Linked DNA regions of Schizosaccharomyces pombe. The gene in region 2 interacts genetically with the main gene of each other region. Each region holds a gene or a part of one and is shown on either strand. Other genes may lie near its edges.

Region 1 (4,812 bases), on a different chromosome or scaffold from region 2:
ACATACCGGCTATGGCCCTTTAATTCAGCAATTGGATGAACATCTTCATAAGGCTCCATAACAGTATAATCTTCTGGTACTTTCCATATCATAATCTAATTCGTTAATACATAAATAAAGTCAAATAGCAGGATACCTTAGAATCATCACCGCCGGATGCTAATACTTGATCATGGAAGGGATTCCAATCAGTATCTAAAACAGCCGCAGTATGGCCCCGAAACAAATTAACTTGATCGGGAAGCTTTCCTCTTTCGTTTAAAGGGATAACTGCCAATGCACCTCCAGCTCCCGCATTCCAATTAACACTGAGGTAAAAGGGGTTCACACTCAATAGGTTAGAATCCCATGCATTATTGCTAAGCTATTGAAGACAATTAGTAAATTTCAAACCATTAAAGTATCGACCAACCTTTATGTTGTCGTAGCAAAGTTCTTTTTTGCAGGTTTGTCCAAAGATATGTCCTAACGTCAGTTAATAATTATTTACTCAAAAAGCATGCGTACTATATTTACTAGCTCTCACAAATCTTCCACTCATTTTTGAAAAAGAATAATTCCTTTATAAGATCGAATGAGAATTTGCTAATTGAGCTAACTTTATCCGGGGTGTCAGGTAATGAACAAAGTCGGGATCGGAATAGGAAGGAGGACGGATGAGAATGACAAGCACCTAAAGTTGTACTGGTCGTTGAAAATAACCAATATTATTGATAGTAGATATTAAAATATTTAAATTTTGGAAAAAGCAGTTCATTATGAGGAATTGTTTGAATTTTTATAAGGTGCCTTTATAGATTTTATTAAACTAGATATCACACTAAATTTGCAAAATATATACAAAATTTATATTATTAAAATGATCACTGTTTCAAATGTCTTTAATCATTTCAAGCGAAAGCTTTCAAAAGCAAATTATATAAAAAGTAATTGCGTCCAATAGTGTAATTTAGTCGATTCTCATAACTTTTTATGCTAATATGCCTTCAATATTCTCAAAGTATTTCAGATCTCTAAAAGTGTTTTCATTTAGGAAGAAGATTGAGCAAGTTTTTGGCGTTTTCGAGGCGAATCTTCCTTAAGCTTGGGTAGCTTTTTGACAATCTGTTTATACTCATCAAACTGATTTTCATAGGCGTTATGAATTTTTTCAATACGTTCGGACTTATCCAACTGTAGCAACACATCAAGATTTTGACGAAAAATCCTTTCCTTTATTCCTAGTCTAACAGATTTCCGCTCCAATAATGAAAGCTTTTTTAGTTTCGTTGTAAATGCTAATTCACAACAGCGTGAGAATTGACGCTAAAAAAAGACAATTAGTAAGTTGCATTGCATGGTAAATTTAGCAAATTACGAACCTGGGTTAACTTTGTTTCAGCTATTTTCGAGTTTATCCACTGCCTAGAAAGAGAGGGATGAAAGTCAGGTTCTGAAAATATTCCCATTGATAATAATCTTTTATAGTCGCAATGGTCTCTAAGGCTATCAAACGCTTCCGATGCATCCTCAACTGTGAAGTCTAAAATTTTAGGATTTTTCAAAAAGGTACTAACAATAGCATTGTACAATTGCGAACCGTGTCCTTGATGTTGAAAAGGGGGTAAAATCACGAATTGTGAGATACGAGCTCGAATACCATCGTGAATTAATTTGTCCCATTTATAATATTTGTATACAGTACAATAACCACGTAAGCAATAATCATCTTCAGTAGTCTCGTAACTTATTTTTGTTAATAAAACCTCGATAAAAAGGTAAAAGGAAAGTAGACGCGTAGAAAATAACAAACTTACAGTAAATATACCATCCATCTTGGATCATTAAGGTCAATAAAAGAGCCCCCTTCAATAAAAAATAAGGAAAATATTTGCAAATGCTGCATAATCTCACTAGCTTCAAGAACCGTTGCCTATTAATACATTACGATTATTAGCCAAAGAACATATAGGGATATTCAATAATTGAATACTTCTCCAATTGAAAGGTAATCGAACATACTTGTAAAATCTTGAATGTTTTTCCATTAAAGGAATAGTTATGAATACTATTTGCCGAATGAACGTCAAATGAGTTTCCTTCAACCTTAATGGAACGATCTTTTAGATAAGTGTTTAATGTTCCTTCAATATCAGTTGGTTCCACTCCTGAATCTGGTGCTAGGCGCTCTGAATATGAGATTTCCAGTTTTGGGACCATCAATGGGCATTCATAGGTTATCTAATAACTGTTACTATTTGCAATCAAATTTCATGACTAAAACTTGCTGATTTAATCTTACAGTGACATTTAGATCTTTATATCCATAAATAACCTCAGCATCTCCAAATATTGCATATGTATTGCTAGGATGGTATTGACAATCTTTTTCATGCTTTTCGTTTACTGACAGGTGTTAACACAAGGTAAAAACATTATAATTTAACATAGCATACCTTGTACAATTTCTATGCATTCATTGGCATTATGTACCCATTCATCAACAGCACTCATCACTGCATACGGAAAATTGAATACCTGACCCTATTTCAAGTCAAACAACAAAAAATACATGTGTCTAGTTGGAAGTAACAAACTACAAGGCGACGCAAAATTTCACGTGCTACACCTGTTATTATTAAAAAATATTTACTATTATATAGATTTCTAGCTCCAGTATTGCCAATTTTAGAACCTACAATTCTTTATAACTTTTCAGATTGCTCAGAACAATAACTACAAGTATAGATTTTCTGACACAACAATCCATTCTTCATCGATGACCCACGATGTTCAGGTATTAAATTTTTTTGATATCATTAAACTAAAATACGATTTGTATCGCAAACATGTAAAACAGTCATAACATCAGGATTTTTTAGTCATTAACCAAAAGAGGACATCATTGCTTGTTCAATAATATGCAGCTTTCTAAAGCGAAAATCCTTAAAGAGTCTTGAGATTGATTTCCTTAACCACCATAAATTCTTGAACGCCCAAACGACCGGCTTCCTTGCCAAAACCGCTCTGTTTGATGCCGCCAAAGGAAATAAATGGTTCGTCAACCATTTCGATATTGGCACCTACAAGACCCACCTCTAGTTCTTTGGCAACGTGGATCATTGTGGACAAGTTATTGGTAAAGACGTAACCGGCCAAGCCAACATCACTGTCGTTAGCCCATTCGATCACCTCTTCGGTGTCGTCGAACTTGAAGACAGAGGCGAGTGGGCCGAATGTTTCCTCGCTAGCAACCAACATGTCTTGAGTTACACCGGAGAGCACGGTTGGTTCAAAAAAATAACCTTTGCTTGAGGAAATCTCCTTTCCACCAACAGTGATTTTGGCACCCTTTGAAACAGCATCTTCAATGTGCTTGCTGACCTTTTTGCATCCATCTTGAGAAATCAAAGGGCCAACAGCAGAAGAAGAGTCAAATCCATCTCCTACTTTAATGGTCTTGACTTTTTCGGTAAGCTTGCTGACGAATTCGTCGTAAACATTCTTGTGAACGTAAACTCTGTTAGGGCAGACACAAACTTGACCACAAGAGTTAAACTTGATAGTGCAGAAAGATTCGACAGCCTGATCAATGGGGAAGTCAGGGAATACAATGAAAGGGGCATTACCTCCTAACTCCATTGAAACCTTCTTGATTGTGCTGGCACTTTGTCCCATAAGAATTTTACCGACATTAGTACTACCAGTGAAGGAAACCTTACGAACGATAGGGTTGGTAGTCAGTTCTTTACCATGAGCAGATGCATCAGAAGAAGTGATCACATTTAAGACACCGTCAGGGAAACCGGCCTCTTGCGCCAACCTGACTAAACCTAAGCAAACGTAGGGAGTGCGGAAAGCAGGCAAGAAAATAGCGGTACAACCAGCAGCCAAAGCGGCACCACCTTTACGAGCAATCATGGCGGCGGGGAAGTTCCAAGGAGTAATCAAGGCACTGACACCAACTGGCTGTTTGATGGAGATGAGAAAGTTTTGACTTTGTAAGCTGGAAGGAGCTACATCGCCAAAGGTACGAACGGCTTCAGCAGCATACCATTTAAGATATCCGCTACATGTGGTGACCTCCATCTCAGCTTGGCTCAAAGGCTTGCCGTTTTCTAAGGTAAGCATCTTGACCAAGTCGTCTTTGTTCTCCATAATAAGCTCTGCCCAGCGTTCCAATAACTGACTACGTTGGACATGAGTAAAATTTTTATAAGTTTTGAAGGCCTCGTTAGCGGCACTGATGGCTTTTTTTGTTTCCTCTACTGAGACATCGGCCACTTTACCGATTATTTCACCAGTAGCTGGGTTATCAACCTCAAAAGTTTTGTTGTTAGGAGAAGAAATCCATTTTCCTTGAACAAAAGATTGAGCATGAGACTTATCAAAGCCAAAGAGCTCAGGGCGTTTGAATTGAGGGGCCATTTTTGAAGAGTATTATACAAAAAAGTGGGAAGGAGTAAATGTTAAAAACTATATGAAACGAAGTTATCGATAGAAATGTTATTATTATTTATAATAATAACAAATAATAGCGTAAGCAGCAACAGATCTTTCGTGGAAAAAAGAAGAATGCAGGTTTTTTTAGTGTTTTCAAATTAAGCTGCAGATTTCTTTTTTTTAATGTAGTGTAAACATCGAGAGAAACGATGCATATTTATAATTTTTCAACAAGACATTTAATGATCAAACCATAACGTATGCATCTTGGTTTTCCGTACTAGATTTACGTCTCAACATCATGTTCTTGGTGTATGCAAACATTTCCCCTGGAAAAAAAGAAAGGCGTATTGAATTTGCGTAAATATCGGCAGACTAACTTATAAATCA
Region 2 (6,397 bases):
GTCATAGCAATCAATTAATAAAATTTGTAAACGGTTTGAAATTTCACTCATGATAGATACTAATCAGCTAAAACGACCTTAGATTTACTCAAGAAACATTAATTTTTTAACGATATGATTGAAAAGAGAACTCTGGTATTAAGAGGTTTTAACTTTTACAAAGTAGCAGGAGTAGGAAGTGCGCAAATTAAATTCCAGTTTCCAATTTGTTTAGAAGCTTCTGACATTCTTCGGGATTTTACAAATCATACAATTCCATTTAAGGTAGGAAAAGTGTAGGCTATCTAAAGTTTTATTATTCCGTTTATTTTCAAAGAATAATTCGCAATCAAAAACTTGAAGGCGAGAATAATAGAATGGGAAGCAGTATTTATTTTGAAAACAACCCTTTGAATATGTGCAATTTTCATTGTCAATAGAACATGAAGCAATCAACAAATATATGTATTCTTTTTTGCTTTAATATCATTGATTCACCTATTAATCGAACCGAACGGTAGTAAATTTTATATTAATGCATTTACAGCCTGATCAGCGTAAAGATCTCAATGACAATTGATAGGACGGCTTGTATTACTGTTTTTTTTTTCTAAATCCTGATTAAGCCTGTATGTTTCTTCTATTTGGTTGTCAAGGCTATCACATTTTGTTCATTAAAGGTATTGTCTACTTAATGCTTCTAACGTCAGCAGCTAATTAAAATTATTTCAGTACATATATTCATTTATAAGAGTATTGTTACCATATTAATAATAATAAAAAAATATGGATTTTAAGAGTCGAAAATATAAAATTAAAAAGCATCCGAAGGATTGCAAACTACATGCTAAAAAATACCGGGGTACATTGAATTCAAAAGGGAAAAATGATAATGATTGTTTAATTATGTGTATGAGATGCAGAAAGGTTAAAGGGATAGACTCTTACAGCAAAACTCAATGGAGCAAAACGTTTACATTTGTTCGTGGGAGAACGGTTAGCGTTTCAGACCCAAAAGTGATATGTCGTACCTGCCAGCCCAAACAGCATGATTCAATTTGGTGTACCGCTTGTCAACAAACTAAGGGCATTAATGAATTCTCTAAGGCACAAAGACATGTCCTGGATCCACGATGTCAGATATGTGTACATTCACAAAGGAACGACGGTGATGATAATTTGGAATCTGATAAGTTCGTTGATCCTTTCATAGGTGATGATTCTGACTTAGACGATGATATCTACATTCATGATAAACAAACCATAAACTCAGAATACGCTGACGATGTTTCTGATAATACTGACGAAGAGCGAACTGAAAGCAAGGGGCAACAGGAAAGCAATTCAGCTGAAGAATATGATGATGATGACTCTGATGAAGACAGGATGGAAGAGATATTTCAGCAATTCAAAAAAGAAAAACAAATTGTATAGAGACACGTTTTATATTCATCCTTATTTGAATTATGTAAAGATTTGCTTACGATCCCATTTTATATGATAAATTATAAAGGTCCATTAGTGCTAATGTAGACCTTAAAATATGTTGAATTTAATTTAGATCTTAAATAAATAGATATATGTATATAGTAGTAAAAGGTAAGGAATTGCGAACCCTGATGTAAACACTAGCGTATATTGAACCCATTAGTTTCAAGCAACGCCGTGTCTAATTTTTTTTTTAACTTTTCCCTACTGGAGTATTCCCAAATACATAAGTGATTGAAGCAAGTATGAGAGATAGGAAGTTGATCACTGTCAGGTCCGAGAACTGAGATTCTTAATTGAAAATTATGTGCCCCAGTAGCGGGAATGCGATCGCTTCCTGTGACGAAAATGAGAAAAAGTTTTTGCATTTTTAGCGAATAGTGTGATATCAAATCCCAAAACCAAAGTATTATTTTTCTTTTTGATACGAAAGAGTGGCAGAGATATTTAGATGCAGTCATACTTGGTTCACTTTCAGATATAGAATTTGAAATCGCATTTTGGTCATAAAAATCATAAACGCAGACATTTTTGAGTAGCTCCCAGTCAATAACTTCTTCACTTCCTCTGATCAACTTGCTGATTTCATTGTCTTGAAACAACGATATGGCGTTACCTCCACATACTTTCATAAAGCCATCGAAAAAAGCAGAAAATTGTTTTTTTACAGTAGTATTTAAGAGATAATCTACATACCTCAAAACATATTCTTTTCTGTTCTCATTATCAACACTCAATTCAGAGCCTCCTTCTTTCAACTCAACAGTGCGAAAGCCCTCGACAGCTTTGAGATTAATTGTAAAATTAAGACCGTAAGTATTTTTTACATCTCCTTCAAATAGTAAAAGCTCTTTTAATCCTCGATATAGACTAGGCTGAAAATCATCCAAGTCATTGAAACTTAGAGGTAACTGTAAAAGTTTTTTATAGAAAGCTCTGGGCATCTGTACATCCAAATTTATTGAATTGTGGATTGCAATTCCCATCAATATACCTGACATATGATAGTAATCAATTTCTTTCGACCTGTGTGAATAATTAAACCATAGATAATTTGAAGACTCTTCACAGTTCACAAATAATCCAAACTCAGGGCTAAAAACTTTCCTCGTTAAAAGCAGCAACCATTCTCTCTTTAATCCTCCTGCATCGATTCCTTCTTCACCTAAAAACTCAACTTTTAATGCCTTTCTAAAATCTTTATTTCTGTCATTAATTTGCCTTAGGCTGTCTTCTAACAGTCGATCTCGCCGAACACGAATCATCAAATAAGGTTCAACGTTCATTTTGGAAAGAATTGAAGAGAAAAATGCTTCTCTTGCTTTAATCTCCATTTTTCTCCGAGCATCAAGCTGAAGAATACTAATTTTAGCACCCATTGAAAGAAGAAAAGGATACTGGCAAAAACAAAAGCAATTGATTTTTTGCTCCCATAACTCAAAGTCGTGATAAAGATTTATGAAATCAGCCATTATGCAGTAAAATGAAGATCTGTCTATCAGTCTCATTTGCGAATTAGCAGAGTATAATAAGGCCATAGTAATAGCTGCTGACTTAATTTGCCAGTCATTATTATAGTAGTGCTTCCTTTTGTTTCTACTGTAAGTTTCCATTAATCGTTGACCAATAAACTTGTTTATGAGATCGACTTTTCTTCGAAAAAACTTAGGATTGTTGTAAGGTTGTTTTTTAAAACAAGAAATAAAAAAATGATGTGTCTTCTCGTTCAAGTTAGATAAAACTCCCAAAATCCTCTTCAAAATGCTGCTACTCTTGTTCACTATATTCTTTGATTTTGAGTTCAACAAAGGATTTTCCAAAAGAATGAGAAGATATTGATAATCCGCTGGATCATGACAATATAGCATGGGTCTCCGAAGTAAACTCTCGATAGCTCTTAACAACTCATTTGTTATTAAAATGTCTAAATTTGTAATATCATGGTACAATTGGTAAATGAGCTTATAATTTAGTCCGGAAGATTGGATTGAACAACCATTTTTAACCGAGAACAGTTTATTCAATATCGGTGGACTTCCAAATACTAAGGATATAAGTTCTCGTAATGGTAAGCCTGCAGCCACAATAGCTTGAACGTTGCCAGTTCGCTGCTTAGCAAGTTGCAAGGCACTTCGTGTTTGATGAATTGTTTCAACAAAATGTTCAACTGAGATAAATTGTGATCCATCGGTTGAAGCTTTTGTCTTTATTTGGGAGCCACTTAAACAAAAATAAACATCGTTCACAGTCATACATAATGAACAACGAAAGCACATAGCTTGTGCAGGGTAGCGCAGGACGCTATTACAACAAATGCAGGGCCTGATCACCTATAATTTTGTTAATAAATTAGCCAAACAATTAGCCTAAATACCAATTTCTCTGAATTCCCGTAACTATCATTAGAAATTGTCTCATGAAACGACTGTCGAAGTCGAAGTGGATTTTCACCCATACGTTGACAAACTAACTCTCTTAAGCGACGTGATATTTTTGAATTTGTATTATTGTCAAGTTCTGAGCGGCTAGAAAAACTAGAGCCATGAAGTGCTGGGAGCGTTCTACGGTTTCCAGAAGACACATTGGCTATTTCAATAGGGCGACTCATATAAGCAATTCACCTTCTAAGAAAGATCTATATTTCGCTCTACAGATAAACAATTGGGACTAACCCAAAACAAAAAGACAAATCTGTAAAAGTATGGTACATATCTAGGCCATACTACACTATACATATATTGGTATAGTTATTTCTTAAATATTACGATATTCAACAGGTTCTCATGGCGTAGTCATTCTAACATTCTTTCGTCAAAAGATCATCACAGTTGAACCAATTTTCTAAGATCTTTGAAGGTGAATACTGTTAAAACAGATAAGTTCTTTACTCTTCTTGTATAATATGTATGTCATTAAATGCAGAAGTAAATATTATGACATTTACAAAGAAAATTACCATGTCGACTTCGCAGTACCTTATTTAAGATTTTTGAACGTTCCTACATTGATGATACCTTTCATTTTAAATTGTCAAATTACCTAGTATGTACGACTATTCGTAGGAAAGTTGATTTAAGAAGATTATGATTTAAACATTGAATAACATCTAGTATGCTAAATAGGCCATCCTAGGTAATAATGGTGTAGTAAGAGAAAGAAAATAGAAAGCAAAAATTTGGTTTATAGGTTGGGTCGAGTATTCCTTTGAACCGGAGGTGGAACAGAAGTTGGCGAGCTTACACCGGACGAATTACTAGAAGTTCGGGCAGCAAGTCTTCTTGGCTTTGGAGGTGCAGGTGGAGGTGGTTTCTTAACAGGCGACGCTGTAGAAGCAGCAGTCGCCGCGGGAACAGATCCAGATGCATATGAACTGTTTTGAGAAACCCTTCGGGGAGGAGGAACCGGCAAGGGTGCATTTGCAGAAGCTGTAGGGAGAGGAGAAGAGGCAGTATAATTAGCGTTTGACTGATAAGTTTGGGAATAAGAACCAGAAGAGCTGTAGGAGGGAGGTGGGGGCATCTGAGACATTACATTAGGACGAACAGGAGGTGGTGGGACTTGTTCTTGATTTAAGACGGACGGACGACTCCCTGGTCGACTAGGAAGTGAAGGAGTCCCTCTTGAAGGAAGAGCGGGTTCCTTGGGGGGCTGTGAAGGTTGGGAATAAGAAGGCTGCGAATAAGAGGGTTTCGAATAATCTTGATTTCCTACAGCCGGGCTAGCCGTTCTAGGTGTACTTCCAGTACTACTACCACCGGCACGCAACTGTGAAGCATGTTTTGGAGGAGGAGGCAATTTTGTAACATCGACATATTTTATTGATAAACGAGGCCCGGTTCCATGAACGGATCTAATATCATACATAGCATCTTCGCCATGTTCACCTATAAATCCCATTTTGTTAGTAATGTCTCAAAAAGCAAAGGAAATATGCTTACCTGGTAATTTCGATGTAATCTTATTCTGGAAGCGGTTCGCAGAATCCGACATCGAATGCAGTGATTTTTTTGTTGAGTCAAACATTACGATTAGTTTGAAATTGATTTCTCACAATTGACGCAAAAACCGATTTTACCCAAATGTTTGCGGTGGACAGCTTCCGACTCTCGAAATTCCTTAAGTCCGCTTTTCTAAGAGCCCATAGGGTAAACAACTACACAACGTGCTAGTAATATCAGCCAGCTGATAGGAAAAAATAATGTCTTTGAGTTCTTTTTGATAAAACATAACAAAATAGTAAGCAGCTAATAAGCTTCGCGTTTGTTGTCAATACTTACTATCAGAATTGCAGCATTGCTATTACGCTTGCTAAATTGGATAATATACGTAGAGTTCTATATTCATTCAATTGAAAACTTGTTAAAATCGCATTCTTTATGCGTATATTAGTTATACAACTATGGCTGTCAGAAAATGCAAACAAACTACCACAAGAAGTGATCCTTCCAATGATAAACGTTTATGTTAACAGAATGTAAAATCATTGCTTTTCAAGTAAATCTTATAAACACTAGATGTTGATGACTTTCATAAATAGAAAGTAGGGATTACAATTCATCTGTTCCGTCATCTTCAACATTTTCTTGAGACAACTGCCCAGATTTGATAATTTTTACATCTTCAAGAGGCTTATCACGGTTGTCAGTCTCAGCTTTGGAAATTTTCTTGACAATATCGTAACCAGAAAGGACTGATAAAATTAGTATTAGCAAACAAAAAAAAGGAAAAAGAAAACAAATAGTCACTTTTATAAAACATATACAACTACAATATGAATTCTTACCTTCACCAAAAACAACATGGTGTCCATCTAACCAAGGTGTTTTAACTGTAGTAATGAAAAACTGAGATCCATTGGAATCGGGTCCAGCGTTAGCCATGCTAAGCAAACCGGGACGTTGGTGAGAAAGCTTAAAGTTTTCATCAGGAA
Region 3 (5,757 bases), 560 kb from region 2:
TAAGACGGGAAGCAATATCCACTTGAGTACGTAAGGTATTTGCGAGATAAACTACAACCAAAACATCTTGAAGATGTGATGAAAAAATTTTTTCAAAATCTTGGCCTTCTACGCAAGGAATTAAACTAAAGCACTTCATCAAATATCTACCGACAGCAACATTAGCAGGCGAAGAACCATCAATTACGTTTTGCACATAATCGGAAACTCTTTCAATCATAGATAAAAGCTCCAAGGTTGATCTTCGAAGTTGCTGGAGATCTGTGAATAGGCTAGCAAGTCTAGATGGGTCATTCTTAGGAGCAGCTACAGCTTTCAAACCAGAACGGACTGCCTCGTCATCACGAATGGTAAAAGGGGTAGGGACGAATGCACAGCTGTCAGCAAGGCGCTCTGTAATACCTACTGGTGAAGAAACGTAAGTCTTGATGGCAAGGGGACTGCTAACATCTGTGTTGACAGTAAGGTGAACACAGGGATGAGGATACGTTCCTAGTGGAGCAGTTCCGGGTTCAGCAGGAGAAGCATATAAATTTTGAATCAGTGCACTGAAAGCATCTAAATCAGGAGAAGTAGCATACCAACCAACGACAACTTCACGAGGGTTAGCCTTGAGGTGTAAATGGTACATCGCACGATGATATTCCATTTCAACTTCTACCTGCTCACTGCTCTCATTATGAGGAACTGCAAAACAACTTTTAATCTCAATTTCTCGGCCATCTTCAGAACGTGTTCCCAAAAGTGTACCGATAACACGTTGATTATTTTCACTTTTCCGGGTTGAATGGTCAAGGATAGAAAAAAGCACTGCTGGTTCAATGACAATGTTCAAAGGACTTGACCTGGAAGACGGTTTTGTGAGATGGAGTACGTGCTTAGTCCCCAAAGCCATTTTTTAAAATTTTCACGTTGTTGGCTACTCTCAGGTAGGTAGATCTGGTATTGTTCCCCAATCAATAATAATTTTACTGTACTAGTTTACAGTCTCATAGAATTCGTTAAATTGAAGACACTATTTTTCGCCTAACTTCTAAGGTTTACCATTTAAGAAAGTGTATTTTCAGTTGCGTTGAATAATCTAAAAAATCTCCTTAACAATGTCTCATTTGTACGTACAATAATGAGAAACTCTTTATTCAAAATTCTATAACTATTTACATTTGTACATTCTCTGGTTAAAAATCATTTATATATATATACAATGTTCAAAAAATTCGGTTAGCAAAAAAGTGTAAACATAAAACCCAAAAAAGCAGTTTGCTTTTTCTTGACTAATAATGAACAGTAATTTAACTCATATCAGCAAAAACAGAGCACTCACGAACATGAATACCATAGGAAGTAGGAACCTTCGTTTCTTCATAAGCACTTTCTAGCTGAGAACCTCCACTAGAAGAAGTAGTATCAAACATATCTGGTTTCAAAAACAATTTGGTGAGACCAGGGTTATTAGAGGAATCAACCATGCGAATACGGAACTCGATAACTGGCTTTCTAATAGCAGCACTAGGACTAATCGCAAACTTGGCTAAAATTTTAAATCCAGACGAAGATATATTAATGTTCGAAAGATGTAGCTTAAGTTTACTAGTTTTCCTGCTAAATTCTCCGGCCGGAGAACTTTGACAGCTTTTTACAAGGACATTTTCCCCCAAGTAAACGATGATAACAAGTTTTTCAATATGAAGAGATGAGCCTAAGTTCCTCCACACAGGATTAGGCTTCACAAATGCAATCATACTACTACTGCTTTCATCATGCTTCCATTTCTGAACAACTGTCAATGGAATGCAACTAGCACCGTTAATACTATCAAGATGTAGATTAAAATCAGTGACTTTGATTGGTGAGAGAAGTAGCTCTGGTATTAAAGAAAGTGTGTTTTCTGAGGGTCCATATTTTACTGCATGGTCATTTAAATGAGTAAAAGACATAGGAAATTCAGACGCAACGCGAACACCCATTTCAGGAGGAGGGGTATTAAAATCCGAGGTATATTTCATGAATATATGACCGGAACAGGAAGGATGAAGAAGGCCATCTTCAGATAATTCACCAGAATACTTTTCGACGATTGAAGCAGAAAGCCCGGAAGAATTTGGGAACTCAGGGTGCCATGTTGCAGTCGAGTCTGGTCCCGATTGTAATGATAAAGTAGACAAATTGGGCAAGCTACCGAGGTTTGATTCCATATAGTCAGACGATGCTGTAGCATAACGATCCATTGTCCCAGCACGACGGGTCCTTCTTGATATAGTGGGATTCTTTCGTAAAGTATTTGCTACCCTTTCAATTGCAGCATTGCTATCCTCGTTTTCAGTAGGCGCAGGGGAAGCCACCGCTGATGTGGGAGACGTTGTTGTTGATCGTGATTGCATGTTGTTAAAGTTCCCACCAAAATCATTGCCATGCATCATGATAGGATTCGAATGTGATGCATTCTCTCTATCGATCGATGAAGGGGTATTTCTTGAGGCTTCAGAGTGCACAGAATTGGGTTTATTAAAGGGGGAAGCCTTGGAGGAAATCTTAGGCGTAACCGTTTCTGCTTGAACATTAGGCTGCACAGGTAGCGGAGCCTCCAAAAAGGATGAGCGAACATTGTTTGCACGAATAGTGGCATCGTTGTCCTCGCCCTCGTCGGAAGTTTCATTAAAGTTTTGATAAGACGAAGCGTTATTATTAGTAGAGGGATGATCCCGAATTTGTGAAGAATGATTGGAATCATAATGTCTTCGTTCGATTGAACTATCATCTATATTCGATGGGTGTTCTTCAGCAGACGAAATACTCGAAGCTTTGGAGTTCTTATTAAAAAAAGCAGTTAATTTATTAGGGCGACCATTAGATTTATGCGAAGGCTTCTTATCCTTTTTAGGCATTATGGTTTTCCGACGAAACAACGTGGACATTTTGTTCTTCAATTTACCACCAGATTCATTTTCTCCATGACTCTTTTCCTCTTTAGATTTTCCATTGTTTATGTGAAAGCCCGATGACTTAGATGGTTTATTAGCAGATGCGGAAGACATAACTTTCGATGTGGAGTTCATGAATTGACGGATTTCACCTTCAATAGGTAGATCAGAATAAACTGCCATAGATTTAGAAAAAAATTCTTGCTGTTTAAGAGCCGTATCAGTTTCCAAACTTGCAATTGTCAGGTAAACTTGTTTCAATATAAGGAGGCGTTCCTCGTCAACAATTTGCAATTTTTCAAACGCTAAAGGAGCATCGGAATCCCAGGTTGCACGAGAAGCAGTGAGATCATTCTGACTCTTAGTATCCGCATCACGGCCTTTTTTTTTTAATCCCTTCAGACCAGGTACAGAAGACGATGCCATCTCCTCTGCAACTGTTGATAACCGCTCTGCTAAACGTCTAAGCGTAGCCGTTTGTGGTGAAGAAGTATAATAATCTATCAAAGGTTTATAAACTTGCGAAGCTATTTGTCCAATGATTTGACTGTGATATCTTGAAATTTCAAGGGTTTCTCCCTCGAGCTGTTTCCAAGCATAATTAAAAGCAAACGATGAATTGTTTTTTTCTTGCATGTTCATTGCAAGCTTATGTAATTGATCTGAGTATTGCCGTTCAATATCCATTCGCTCACGAATCCACTGCGAAAGCATGTCGTTGTCTAGGCGAACTTGCTCTAGGCGCTGTCGAAAGATCGACATGCTGTCGTTTGGAGAGTAGTTTGACTATTTGTTAATAAGAAGGAAATAGCTAAAATAAAGCTTACCAAAAACGCATCTACATACTCCGTTTTCGTCAATGATTCCATGGCGTGGTGGTGGTTAGTGTAGGGGGAATGCGACTCGATACATGACACTTTATTCCAAAATTGCAAAACAAATTGTTTATGGAGGATGATTAGTATTGCTATTAGATGGCTGTTATGAAGACATAAGAAAATATTTTTAATAAGGCAAAATTTTCATTTCTACATACATCAATATCGATGTTTCCGAAATATGCATAAATAAATTAATCGATTATTAACTAGTTAGCTGCTCAATACTATGGATTAGTCTCAAAAATATTTCAATTGAAAAGTGACCCAATATACCAACACATATTCGAACCGCTTAACGATTTCTCAAAAAACACAAGTTTTTGAATAAAAACATATAGGTAGTGAAATCTATTGAAACGTTCAATTTTTTTAAGCCTTCAACATACGCTAATTTCAAATCTGAGTTCTCACTACTATTATCGCACCTTTTTCTATTCTTTCGAAAACATACGTTTGAGCAGAGAAAAAGTCAGTAACAACTTCCATAGTATAAAAAAGAAGGAGATATGTTCAAAAATCAACAAAAAATATGAATAATTGTTCGTAAACCCATATTGTTACCATAGATGAATTTTACTAACTAGTGCTTATAAACGAAAGTTTTCTTTCGCTACTTAAGGTAAGTAAGCAGAAAACATTGAGAATGGCTTTAATTCAATTAAATTTAAAAATGAAGAGAGACCAAGATCAGAAATCCTAACACATGTTAGACTATTAAGGCACTTTATCTGAAGTGAAGTCTAATAAAATGTAAGCAACGAAAGTCAGTTGATTGATACCAACATTCCACTCGCATACAGTACGAATTCTCTAAATAACTCCAGTTTATTTTTATTACGACAATGAAACCATAATGCCATGGTTTAAGTGGTCAATATGTTAACCGTGTAACAATGAAAGTACATCGTAACGTGTTAGCATCAATAATCCGGTTTTTTCGGTTTGTTTATAAATTTACCGATGCGCTAAAATATCTAATTTGTAGTTTACCAAAAAATTTTACGTGTGTTATTGTATATAACGCGCTGTAAAATAAGTAATGAAGCTTCACAGCTATGCACATTGTAACGCATTTCACCGGACTTTAGCAAATTACAGTCTAAGGAAATTTTCTTTTCATACAGAACCAAATAGGTCTGTGGGCGGATTGCATGTGCCGGTTGTATACAAAAGCAAAATAGTACAATGAATATTGCACAGCCAGTCTCTTCGGAGATTAAAAGTGTGAAGTTTGGGATTTACGATGTTGACGATGTCGAAAAAATATCCGTCAAACAAATCGTAAATCCCGTTTTGCTTGACAATTTAAATCACCCTACTAACGGCGGATTATATGACCTTGCTTTGGGTCCATATCTAAAAAATTCTGTTTGCGCTACATGTCATTTGGATGAAAGATACTGCCCTGGTCATTTTGGTCATATAGTACTTCCTATTCCTGCATATCACCCTCTATTTTTTTCTCAAATGTACAATTTATTACGTTCAACTTGCTTGTACTGCCATCATTTCAAGCTTTCAAAAGTCAAGGTTCATCTTTTCTTTTGTAGACTCAAGTTGCTTGATTATGGTCTTTTAAATGAGTCAGAGATGGTGGAGAATGTCAGTCTTACTGAGGCAATCATAAAGAATTCTAACGGCACTCCACTTGAAGATGGAAGTGACAGCGAGGACAGTGGTCTTGGACACGATGATATTGCTAAAGATGCTGCAACACTTATGCGCATTCGCGATGAATTCGTTGCTAAGTCTATTGCTGACTCACGCCAGAACGCTCATATCGATGCTCAGTTGACTACACTTCTTTTACACGAGAGGAAAAAAGTTGTGCGTGCCTTCTACCATGCCATTTCATCTCGCAAACAATGTGATAATTGCCAGTCTTTTTCCCCTAACTTTAGGAAAGAAGGCTTTGCTAAAATATTCGAGATTCCATTGAGTGGAAAAAATCTCCA
Region 4 (3,911 bases), on a different chromosome or scaffold from region 2:
CATTTTTGGAAGATCCCTTACGAATTTTGAGAGGCATTCGGTTTGCATCCAGATTTGAATTTACAATTGATCCGTCGGTCGTTTCCGCTATCCAAGATCCGAAAGTATGTAAAGCTTTTGAAAAAAAGGTTAGCAAGGAACGTGTAGGAGAGGAAATTGAGAAAATGTTGAAGGGTGCAAACGCGAAGCTAGCACTTCAACTGTTATATTCAACGAACACGTATCAGTTTACGTTCGATACTTTGCCAGCTGAAAAAGAATTTCAAATTCCAAAGGCATTGGAAGCTACCGAGTCTTTATTTCAGAGTCTTGCATTGACGTTTCCTAAACTTATGAAATTAAGTGAAGATGAGAAAATTGGGCTATGGCTATATGTTGCTCTAATTCCATGGTCTAGTCAAACTGTTATGGTTAAGAAAAAACAATTTTATATTCCTGCAATCATCGCAAAAGACAAGTTGAAGCTCAGAAGTACATATGTTAACCAGTTGAATCAGTGCTGCACATTCAATCCGATATTCGATGAATTAGTTAACGATACTTCCACTAAAAATTGCTCATCTATTGGCAGCTTAATACGACAATTGAATAAATCCTGGGAAGTCGTGTTTTTAACATCGGTCATATATAGTTGTTGTAAAACACCGGCAGCATCTGTATCAAATACATTTAGTTCTTATAAATCTCTATATGACTTTATTTATGACAAAAATTTACAAAATGCTTATAACATGAAGCCATTATTAGACGTATGTAATTCTTTTATTTCTGTTAACAATATTGAGCGAATAAGCTAACAATTTTTTAGGGAAAACAGATCATGAAAAATGTGGGAGTTAAGCCTGGCCCGCAGCTGAAAGAGACTATGGATAACATGATTTCCTGGCAATTTAAACACCCTGAAGGAAGTGTCGAAGATTGTGTTGCATACCTTCAATCCCTAAAAATATAAGAAAAGACAATCACTGTTTAGATAACTTAATCGCACAAAAGATTAAAAGAATAAAAGTCACCAGTAATCGTCGTCCTTTTTGGAAATTCGTATTTATGATATTTATGCTTAATTCAGAATGGATCCTTTCCTCTTATTATTACCAATCTCTAACCGGCTCTCGATAATCGTATTCGCTGGTGCTTGGTGTAATTTCGGTACAGTCTGGATAACAGTAGTTCAATTTGACATAGCATCTTGTGTTTTCATTATCATTATTAAAAAAACGAGTTCCACAAGCGGAACATTGCAAATTTAATTGATCAAATTCATCAATGATTTCGTTGCCTGTGCGTGCTGGATAATCACCTTCGCACTCATAAATGGCAGTGCAAGAACTAGCTGTATAAGAAGAATATCCATGGTAGATCAAGGATCTATTATACTTCATGTACGCGTTCGGACACGCACGATTTTCTCCTCGAAGCATAGGGCAAAGAAATGAGCCCTTACAGTTATTAGGATGAACCGAATTATCATATCCAAGCATGTTAAATAAACTTCTTCGATAGTTTGAAGTAATTCGAGAGCCTTTTGCTTCTGGCTCAAAGACAGTACTAAGATCACTTCTAATTGGGACTGCAATGCATATGTAAATGCAGATTCCGTATATGAATAGGAACAAAGTTAATTTCTCTGTTACACAACAAAATTTCCACATTCCTTCCGAAATATTAATATATATTAAATATGCAAAAGTGTTTAAAGCAATGCTTCTTATTTGCAATTATTCTTAATTAATTAATATTTTTCTTTTGGTTAAGGAAAGAATATGTAATATAAACAGTATTCTTTTAGTTGGTGTCAATATTTTTGTTTGTTTTTAAGATCGTAAACAGAGCTTTACAAACCCCAAAGCAAGGTGTCTTCATCTAGTGAAGCATCCGAGTCATTATTAGATAAATTGCTAGATTCTTTAACAGAAAAGTTATTTTTTTTAGTTTCAAACCTTTTTTGTTTCAAACGACGGATAAGATCCCTCGACTCACCCAATTTGCTTTCTTCTTCATAAAGAATATCATAAACTTCTGGTTCTAAATCATTATCTGCAATTTCATTTTCTTCATCCTTTTCGGCCAATAACTGTTGCTGTTGGAGTGTTATTTCTTGTTCAACAGCATTTTCCTCAATAATGCCAATCTCATTTTGAAAATCGTTCCACTCTTCTTCAATTAGTTCTTTATTTTTAGCAATAGATTCATCAAAAAAGTTTTCTGGAAGTGCGGACACCGCTCGTGTATCCTTAGGAGGTTCTGTAGATTGCTTTTCATTAAAATCACTTACTGCCAGCTCACGAGATTGATCACGACCTAAATTTTCAAATGATTTATGATCTCTCGTCTTCTGACGCTTCAGTTCTTGACTAGAGGCTTTCAGACCTCGCTTTTGCCCTAATCGCTCTTGTTTTACTTTCCTCAGTAACTCTCGTGCACTACTCATATTTTTGAAGCTCCTTTTCTAACAATATTCACATTTAATCGTAAAATATTGCATTCGAACTATAAAATAGCATGTATCCTTAGTTTTCGCAGATTTTGCACCTTTGCTATAACAAACTACAACACTGCTGCCACTTGCCAATAACCCATACCTGCCAACACCTTGTTTTTTAGAACTCTTGACGAGCTTTTGTGAGGATATTAAACACTTCAGGAACGACTTTTGTTTAGTTATGCATATATTTTAATCTCCTCAGTTTATTTAGTACGCATTCAATCACTTGTTATTCGAATTGCATGTATTAACCTTGAAGTACAGATGTCATTGATCAAAATACTTTTTATTCCCATAATAACGAAGCATGGTAAGAAAAAGCACTAGAAGGACGGCAAAAGCCTCAGAAAAACCTCCTGAAACTGTTGTTCGGTGTGTTTGTAAATCGCAAGAAGACATTGGCGATACGTGGGTTCAATGTGATGGGTGTGATTGCTGGCAACATGCCAGTTGCGTTGGATTAGCGGATAAGGATATACCTGAAAGCTACTATTGTGAAGTTTGTCATTCGCGAAGCGACGTTTCATCACAAGTACAAAATTCTCCCAATAAGGATGAAGAGCATCAGACAGCTGATTTACTTGCCTCTAATGAAGGGAACGAGAAAAACAATGAAGAAAATAATGTTGTATCTTCTGATTCAAAAGAGGCGATTACTAAAGAGTCAGGCGCTGAACTAGAATCATCCGAGCCTGCTTCGACAAATTCTAATGTTGGAATGACTACTAGGTCTGGTCGACAATCTCCTAGGACTCCTATTGGCTCCACGACACCAAAAAGTTCTCATTCTCCACCTTCAACTCGAAAACGAAGAGGCAGTGTTGGTACGACGGCTACTCATACCAAACGTAGCAAGAATGCACCAAAAACATCTCCTAAGGATGCTTCCAATGAAACTGCAGATCAGGAAAAGGAGCTTAGTTTACACACTTCTATCGATGAAATTCAAAACCCTGTTAGAAAAAGTGTTGCCAAAGCCTGGGTTTCCGTTTTTGAAAAAATCATTGAGAAAGCAAAACTTGAAGGTGTGCAAGGATTAGAAGACCTTAATTCTACATCCTTAGCGCTTCAGCTTGAGCATATTATGTTTATGGTGCTTTCGTATACAACTGATCATTCGTTAACTCCGAACAACAAATATCGAGAGAAGTTTCGTGCTTTACGATTCAACTTGGTTGATGACAAAAACCCGGCATTTCGAGCGCGCGTGTTAAAAAATGAAATTAGTTTTAACGATCTGGTCAACTTATCCAGTGAAGAAATGGCTAATCCTGACTTGAAGAACCTAGCTGAGGAAATTCGTCAACAAAGTACTGAAAACACAGTCATAAAGCAACATTTGATTGCTCCACGAGATCGTTTACTTGATGAAGATAAACTTACACAACAAGATGAACTTGGTATTGCGGAAAACGATGATGCGATG

What was found.
Region 1: mutations in mug30 (region 2) and hat1 together harm fitness less than expected from each alone (positive genetic interaction), as found in Schizosaccharomyces pombe (one large-scale study listed by BioGRID).
Region 3: mutations in mug30 (region 2) and syp1 together harm fitness more than expected from each alone (negative genetic interaction), as found in Schizosaccharomyces pombe (one large-scale study listed by BioGRID).
Region 4: mutations in mug30 (region 2) and mug117 together harm fitness less than expected from each alone (positive genetic interaction), as found in Schizosaccharomyces pombe (one large-scale study listed by BioGRID).

Annotation. Positions count from the first base shown.
Region 1 is NC_003424.3:1,027,911-1,032,722, reverse strand, and holds hat1 (histone acetyltransferase Hat1), read right to left. Parts: upstream 2,504-4,812; 5' UTR 2,494-2,503; coding exon 2,436-2,493; exon of another isoform or gene 2,386-2,435; coding exon 2,282-2,385; exon of another isoform or gene 2,221-2,281; coding exon 2,002-2,220; intron 1,913-2,001; coding exon 1,797-1,912; intron 1,726-1,796; coding exon 1,362-1,725; intron 1,306-1,361; coding exon 1,030-1,305; 3' UTR 782-1,029; downstream 1-781. Other genes in the region: coronin Crn1, read right to left, coding at 7-95, 137-364, 413-465, 508-541; ssd2 (succinate-semialdehyde dehydrogenase), read right to left, coding at 2,926-4,407. UniProt on the Schizosaccharomyces pombe protein: Catalytic component of the histone acetylase B (HAT-B) complex. Acetylates 'Lys-12' of histone H4 which is required for telomeric silencing. Has intrinsic substrate specificity that modifies lysine in recognition sequence GXGKXG.
Region 2 is NC_003423.3:3,686,217-3,692,613, reverse strand, and holds mug30 (ubiquitin-protein ligase E3), read right to left. Parts: upstream 4,076-6,397; coding exon 3,842-4,075; exon of another isoform or gene 3,798-3,841; coding exon 1,608-3,797; 3' UTR 1,414-1,607; coding exon of another isoform or gene 766-1,413; 3' UTR 765-765; downstream 1-764. Other genes in the region: abz1 (para-aminobenzoate synthase), read right to left, coding at 1-51; CLRC complex-Argonaute linker protein Stc1, read left to right, coding at 766-1,413; SPOM_SPBP8B7.26 (uncharacterized protein), read right to left, coding at 4,648-5,351, 5,406-5,490; cyclophilin family peptidyl-prolyl cis-trans isomerase Cyp4, read right to left, coding at 6,015-6,157, 6,251-6,397. UniProt on the Schizosaccharomyces pombe protein: Probable E3 ubiquitin-protein ligase. Has a role in meiosis.
Region 3 is NC_003423.3:3,122,912-3,128,668, forward strand, and holds syp1 (cytoskeletal protein Syp1), read right to left. Parts: upstream 3,811-5,757; 5' UTR 3,791-3,810; coding exon 3,749-3,790; intron 3,708-3,748; coding exon 1,293-3,707; 3' UTR 1,091-1,292; downstream 1-1,090. Other genes in the region: tif306 (translation initiation factor eIF3f), read right to left, coding at 1-895; DNA-directed RNA polymerase I complex large subunit Nuc1, read left to right, coding at 4,988-5,757. UniProt on the Schizosaccharomyces pombe protein: Multi-functional protein that contributes to the endocytic process, but also to events that occur at the neck during cytokinesis.
Region 4 is NC_003421.2:1,255,842-1,259,752, forward strand, and holds mug117 (protein mug117), read right to left. Parts: upstream 1,653-3,911; coding exon 1,092-1,652; 3' UTR 953-1,091; downstream 1-952. Other genes in the region: cca2 (ATP/CTP tRNA nucleotidyltransferase), read left to right, coding at 1-749, 809-952; SPOM_SPCC645.12C (uncharacterized protein), read right to left, coding at 1,835-2,431; bye1 (transcription elongation regulator), read left to right, coding at 2,793-3,911.